Danio rerio: one gene and its partner. The protein of the gene in region 1 purifies or fractionates together with the protein of each later gene. This does not show direct contact. Links are inferred from orthologs where the notes say so. Each region holds a gene or a part of one and is shown in the gene's direction. Other genes may lie near its edges. The genes, in order: smurf2 and tgfbr2b.

Region 1 (3,833 bases):
CCTAACAGTGAAAACATGGCTGGTAAGCACTTTCAGAGCAAATTATGTTTCTCTGGTTTTCAGCTCATCGTGTGTGGATTGGGAAAGATCGACATCAACGACTGGAAGTCAAACACCCGTCTGAAGCACTGCACCCCTGACAGTAACATTGTGAAGTGGTTCTGGAGGGCTGTGGAGTCGTATGACGAAGAGAGGAGAGCTCGACTGCTGCAGTTTGTCACCGGATCCTCCAGAGTTCCGCTGCAAGGATTCAAAGCCCTGCAAGGTACCCGATGATGTCACAAATTTCTTAATTAGCATCCGGAAATTCACACCTGTATAGCCACATTCAATGAATACATAAACCAACACAAAAAGCAGTATTAGGAATGAAACGGCACACAACACTGATGCTTCAGTACATATCTCGATTTTGAAGTAACAGTTTCAGTGTTGCCAGATATTTATTTAAATCGAATTTTACCTTGTTACTTAAACTGTTATATATATTTTAAACAATACAGTAACCAACACCAGCAGTCATAGAACCACAACATAACCGGATCATATCAAAACACTGCCCCCCTCTCACCCACACACTGCACTTGTGTAGATTACACTACCTATTAGAGTGTTTTACTTTCGAAATGGGGTATAAATTGTCCCATTTGGCGTTTTAAATTCTTTTAAACTTAATAAGGTGCTGCTTGCCAATCAGACAAGACTTCTATGTTTGTTCTTGCTATTAATTATGGGAAAAAATGATCAATGGGCGCCAAACACTGAACAGTTTTTGGTATATTAAGGACTACAAAAGGACTATAATTTTTTTTTCAATAATGCTTTGCTGATGTCTTGAAATAAATGAAGTTATAAAGCATAATCTTAATAAATTATGTAGCCTAAATACTTGCTTATTACTGTAATGTTGAAGAGAATATAAGAATTATCAACAATTTAAATTATTAAACTGCTATTTATTTTGAGATTCTGTGTAAACATGTATGTTTTATTTGATTTATTTATTTCGAACATAAAATCATACATTTAAAACAATTCTTCGAACAAAATACATTTCATCATGATCAACAAAATATTTACTTATCCATATACACCTAAAATAACAAATTTATTTAGCAGGTGTCCTGACATTACATCCCACCCATCAGACTATGTTACCAACACTGTATTTGAATGGTTCTGAGGTAGGACTTTGGGATAAGTAGGTTACGGCGATATTACCTCTTTCATATCACACTAATTCAGCTTGTAATTTACACTAGTAGCAAAATCTGATGGGTAGCACATTGTCAGAGGTTGAACCCTCTGACAAGAGTAAAAAAACGTTGGTTCGGGTTAAAGCACAAGGTACTATTGATCTCTTAAAACTGAAATCTTACATGTCTGTCTGCAGGTGCCGCTGGTCCACGTCTCTTCACTATTCACCAGATCGATGCCAGCACCAACAACCTACCCAAAGCACACACTTGGTAAGCATGAGGTTTACACAATTAAATCTTTCTTGAACATCAAATAAACATAGAAGAATGATTTTTTTTAAGAACCGTGTGACACTGAAGACTGGAGTAATGATGCTAACAATGAAGCTTTACCATAATGTGGGTTAAACCATTTTTAAAGTGTACACTCAGTCACATGGAACCAATTTATTGAATACTTAATCAAGAAAGCAGCAATTAAGGGCATATTCACACAAGGCACAGTTGCCTTGAACCATGCCAAAATGCGCTTGTCCCCCTCCCCTCTCCCCTGACAGCCTGCACTCACACTGCATTATTACCTTTCGAGTTAAATCACGCTTACATCATCGATGATGCAGCAGTTTAGTTTAACAGACGTGCAGCGAGGGGTTTGCGTCTTTAATAACCTATGACATGTTGTATTCATTGAAAAGTAAGAATTATTAATAAATCCATATAAAGCAGTCTCTGTGTATTCACACTGAGAGCATCAATGTAGCCGGAAGTCATTCATTTTCAATGGAAGCCAGCGGCGAGGTGCATCGCGTCTTCACCAGTGTGAGCGTCGAGGAGAGTTGAAATCAAGTCAACTTTATGCTAATGAGCTATAATGTGGTTTAGCGGCAACCAATCGGAATGTTGAAGTCCACTACTTGAGAGGTGTCCAGAAAACACAGTCCTGTGAACTTTGATTTTGACCACAGTTGTTTCCAAGGGTTTTAATATTGTGTTTGCCAGATTTCAATTTTTTACGATGTTTTCTTACAGGGACATGCATTAAAAAAGTTACTGGCAAGTTACTGATGTGCATTAATGTATAATTTTTTTTTCTTTAAAAAAGCGGGAATCTCATGCAAAAATACAAATTAGTATTGCTGCTTCAGAATATTTCAGACATATGGACACATATTGGATAAGTGAAGCAAAGCCACACCACATGCAACAGCTTAATCTTCTATTGTTAAATTAGTTTCATAAAAAGTGTGCAACATTTTTATGCTAGAAAACATGTTTTATGCGGGAATGTGACTGATTTGCTGACATACTGAAACGGCCCCTTTAAATACAAGATCAATGCAGTGAATTTTTACTTCTCGAAAGCGAAGCTGTGAAGGCAGACAGCTTGTCGCTAGGTCAGCCAGAGAAAACTTTGGTGCTCTCACTGCTTTCAATGTGAACATACAGTTGAAAGTGAAGTTGCGTCTTCAGTTTTCAGGCTCAGGCACGCTTTGCACTCACACTACAAGCGTTCTGCGTATGAGCCCAGCTAAACTGTGATCTGGCACACCGGGCCGGCCAATAAACTGTGCCTGGGCCTGATTCGGAGCACTCACAATTGTCAAATGAACTGAGAAACACACCCGAGCATGGTTCGAATCGCCTAGTGTGAGTGCTCTTTAAAGCCTAACAGAAACAGCCCTGTTTATTTATTTTTCCCTTTACCTCGTATACAGAATATAATGGTAAAAACTATTGTAAAAAATAATGTATACAAATGCAATAGTATACATCAGAATTTTCTATACAACCAATTATTTTATACAGGAGTGATGTTTCACACTCTTACTATTTTATTGTTTCTCATCAATTATCAGTGTGTAAATATTTAAAAAACCTGTATTTTAAAACCAAAACATGCATATATTATTACATTTTGCCAACATCATCAGTCAACCATATTCGTTTGTGTTCAACAGCTTTAACCGAATCGACATTCCTCCATACGAAAGCTACGATAAACTCTACGACAAGCTGCTGACAGCCATCGAAGAGACATGCGGCTTCGCTGTGGAATGATGTCCCACGGCAGCGCTCACACAAGACCCTTTCTCCAGACGGGATGGACCGGTCATCCAGACCACAGGCGTGTGGGCCTCGCGGGGAAGCTCAGACGCTCGGGCTGAGGAACTGTGGATTACACCGCAGCACTCGACGCCTGATGCTGCTATCCCCATCTTTTTGCATTATTTGAAAAGAAGAGAAGAAAACAACCTATCTTTTCAGCTGCTAGTAACTCTTTTATTTACTATTTTGGAACCTCCTTATCCTCCTTTTGTTTTTTGTTTTTTTAAGTCCATATTTAGATTTTTTTTTTAGCATTAAGACGACATATTAACAGTATTTCATGTAGCATTTTGACAGACTAGACTTTAGGAGAGGCTGAACTTTAGCAGGGCGCAGAACAAGAGCGGCATAAGCTAATGTAGAAGCACTACTGTCCTTACCGAAGACGCCAATGTCAACAAAAGACTGCAGAGTTGGTCATTATTTTTGGGACTTGAAGTTTTTCTTGTTGCACAGGGTGCTGATCTTGGACCCATTTGGATCAGGGAAATAGACTCCGCTGGCTTGTTTTTGAGTGCCCTGCGCCGG
Region 2 (3,794 bases), on another chromosome or scaffold:
TTTTAAGCTGTTTTAATTTATAAGTATAAAAGGCATGTTCTGTGTAGTACACGTAAATGTGTGTAGTGTGTACAACGTCCACCATATTTTCACTGATGCTGTCAGTTCATCACTTCCCTGCGACTTCAGTCCTGTCTTTAGGCCTTGTGGGATAGCAAAGTGTCCATCAGATGCTAAAAGTAGCAAATCTAATTGGCCGCTGACTGTATTATAAATACTATGAATATATTAACAACATCATATATAATTTTTGTTGACCTAGAGTTTCTGTCATTTTTCTAGTCCAAACATCTAAAAATGCTTAAATCAATAGGCAGTTTCTGGTCAAAGAAAATATAGTTTTTAGAAATTATAAGTTAAAATTAAGTGATTTTGCCTCAAAACAAGGAAAATAATCTGCCAGTGGGTTAAGAAAAATAATCATATCTCAATTTTTTATTAAACAAGAATATTTTATTTGCATTATTTTGCTTGTTTTAAAGAAAAGCACAATTTTGACTTATTATTTCTGAAAACAAAACATTGTAATAGAGACTATATTTGGACCACAAACAAGACAAAATCAAAGACAAAAAGTTAGAAAAACATGGAAGTGGGCATACTGTATACAGTTGAATTCAAAATAAATCACCCTCCTGTGAATTTTTCTTTCTTCTTAAAATATTTTCCAAATCCTTTTTAACAGAGCAAGGAATTTTTCACATCATTTCCGATATTTTTTTTCTGTAGAAAGTCTGATGCTGTTTTCACACCAGTTGCGGCATGTGCGAATAAGTTGCGATATTGGCTGGTAAATAGACATATGAACATTTTGAGTTTACTTGCTTTATTCGCGGGTCAAATTTGCTTCATTTGCGTGTCAAATTCACTTCACAATAGATGCAATTTGCGTCATGGACAGGACTTCTGTGTGCCTGGTGACTCTAGACTCTTGCTAAATGGCTAACATGAATTTTGAGAAATAAGCTGTGTTTTTGATCTTTAGGAAGGCTGAAAAAATTATTTGAGAGTCCACTAGACACTTTCAGAGGTGCACTCTTCAGAAACTATACCTGGATGATGGAGGCTTTCAGCTGTGTCTTTGACTGAGCCCAGCCCAGTTTAATGAACTGTTGTTTGGTGTCTGCAAAAGGATTTCCCCTCGGGACACCAACAACAGGCACTACGTCATAGTCACACCAAGTACAAGCTCCTGATTGGTTAACGCAGCAGGAATATCCGCTTAAGTTAAAATTTTCCAACTTAAACAGTTCACAAAATTTGCGCGTTAAGTGTGAAAAACTTTTCATTCGCAACGCTTCATTTGTGCATTAAATACACTTTAGTCCCGCGTAAAACTTGCTTCATTCTCGCGTCAAATTCACTTCATTCACACTTCAAATTTACTTCACAATCGAAGCAGATACGCGTCTTGGGTGGGCCTTGGGTTTCTGCCAGATGACTCTAGCTTCGTTGCTAAGTGGCTAACATGGATGTCATTGAGATAATAACTCCACTAGATACATTCAGAGGTTCACCCAGCTCTGTGAGTTCATAAACTCCTCCTGAAACTATACCTAGATGATGGAGGCTTTCATGGATGATAAAGTGCTTCTGGTTGAGCCGAGCCCAGTTTGATGAGCTATTGTCTGGGGTCAGCTGGAACTACGTCATAATCACACCCCTACAAGAGCAAGCTCCTGATTGGTTAACGCAGCACGAATGACTCGATAAATTCACGCATTTGCACACGGAAATCTATCGAATTGGAAATTTTGAAGCATGTTAAGAGCATCAAATGAGAAAAACGCTCAATTCGCGTCGCTACATTCAAGCGAATCGCATCCACGATGTCTATTCGCGTCTTTGCCTTGACTTATATAAATCACTCGCGTTTGGCGCTTCTTCAGCATCTAGTGTGAATAGAGCATTATTTGTTTTATTTTGGCAAGGATAAAAGCAGTTTTTAATTTTTTATAAACAATTTTCAGGTCAATATTATTAGTCCCCTTAAGCTTTTTTTGTTTGTTTAGATTATCTACAGAACAAACTATTATGTTTAGAAATGTGTTTAAAAAAATCTTCTGTCTGCTAAACAGAAATTGGGTGATTATACGTAAATTATACAGGGGGCTAATAATTCATAAAAAACACAGAAAAAAGTTCCCACGCACTCATGCTTTGTCTCCAGGGAGTGGCAGCAGTTTGTGCAACCATCAATGAATGCTGGGATCACGACCCTGAAGCCCGGCTGACTGCACAGTGTGTGGCTGAACGCTTCAACGAGATGGACGACGACCTGGACAAACTGTCCACCTGCAGCAGCTCTGAGGAAAAGATTCCCGAAGACTGTGCCGTGAGCGTGAGCGACGACAAATGAGAGAAAGATCTCTCTCTGCACAAACTGAATGTTGTACATCCTTCCAGCGAGGCAACGTAGAAGAATACGGCCTTTTCATAAAGCTTTATGTCTCATAACCAAAGATTTCATGCACTTTATCAGATTATTCACAGCTCACACTGAGGAAGGTCACGCTGCGAGAAAGAGGAGCTGGACAGATGCTGGGTTTCTCCTCTGACGGCTGACCGAGAGCCAAAGGTAATCAGGAAAATGTTTCGCCTCAACACTAAAGATTCATAGGAGATTTTAAGACTTCCTACAGATCAGTTCAGGATTTTCTGGATTTATGGAAGAATGTGAGATTTGTTTGTTTGCGTGCATGAATGGTGTGTGTGTTTGTTTTTGCCAAAAAGTGTATTGTGCTTGTTATAGCCAAAGGAAAAATATATTGTAAATACAGCTTGTGACGTAAAAAAAAATCAACCCACACTATTGAGGGGGCCAAAAAAGGGAAGAGTATATATATATATGCTGCACATACCAAAGAAAGGTGTTAAACGAACAGTATTTTGAAGCTCACAATGTGCCTCTTATGTTCACATATCCTGGATATTGAATTGTGCCTCTCTTTTACTACTTTTCATGTAATATATTGTAAATCTATGATGATTAAAAGACATTTATGTACAGGATTGATACTAAAAGTGGGTCATTTTTATTTTGTTGTACATATTATTGTGTATTATTTTACATATTGAATACACTAGTGTTGGATTTAAAGGTTCAAGACACACTGGAGTACTTTTTTGAGATTTTAACAGATCTGTGTGTTGAGCATCACTTAAGCATCAAGCTGTGAGACAGTGCACGGCACTCAGTATTTAACCATTCATGAAGTGTCATATGTGTTTGTTTCCATGATCCACAGGGTTTGCTGTAGGGTTTTCCCCATGATGCTGTGAGGGTTGATACAGCAAAGCTGTTTGTGTGCAGCAAGCAGTTATGTCGGGAGAGCTGTAGGAGAATTAGAGAGTGGCGGACTTTGTCTTATCAGTTGAGTTTGTTACCATTCAGACACATTGCCTATATCTGTGCTGCTGTGTTTGCACATGTTTAAAATCCTCCAGATTACCAACAGGGCAAATAGTTGAAATATATAGGGAAAGAGACCTGCTGCACTGCTATCTACTGTGTCTGCATTCAGACCCGGGGATTCAGGAGGAGAGAAGTCCTTATCATTTATAGTGTTTATATGATTATCTTTATAATGTATAACAAATTGTGGTTATATATTAAATGAAATTACGAATAGCCTATTATAGATGGCACAGCATTAAGGAGCATGAAGAGGCTAAAATACCCCTGCACCGACTAAAGTGAAATCTGAGAATGAATATGAAGTGTCACTTCACAAATTTAAATTTCAAGAGTTCACACTTAGCTGATGATTGATTATAAAGCTTGTTTGGCATGC

What was found.
Region 2: the proteins of smurf2 (region 1) and tgfbr2b purify together in Homo sapiens (affinity purification with western blotting; 3 studies listed by BioGRID). This does not show direct contact. The link is inferred for Danio rerio from reciprocal best matches to the Homo sapiens genes SMURF2 and TGFBR2.

Annotation. Positions count from the first base shown.
Region 1 is NC_133178.1:24,026,266-24,030,098, reverse strand, and holds part of smurf2 (E3 ubiquitin-protein ligase SMURF2), read left to right. Parts: intron 1-63; coding exon 64-265; intron 266-1,393; coding exon 1,394-1,469; intron 1,470-3,157; coding exon 3,158-3,257; 3' UTR 3,258-3,833. UniProt on the Homo sapiens protein: E3 ubiquitin-protein ligase which accepts ubiquitin from an E2 ubiquitin-conjugating enzyme in the form of a thioester and then directly transfers the ubiquitin to targeted substrates.
Region 2 is NC_133191.1:43,914,680-43,918,473, reverse strand, and holds the end of tgfbr2b (TGF-beta receptor type-2), read left to right. Parts: intron 1-2,170; coding exon 2,171-2,359; 3' UTR 2,360-3,024; downstream 3,025-3,794. UniProt on the Homo sapiens protein: Transmembrane serine/threonine kinase forming with the TGF-beta type I serine/threonine kinase receptor, TGFBR1, the non-promiscuous receptor for the TGF-beta cytokines TGFB1, TGFB2 and TGFB3.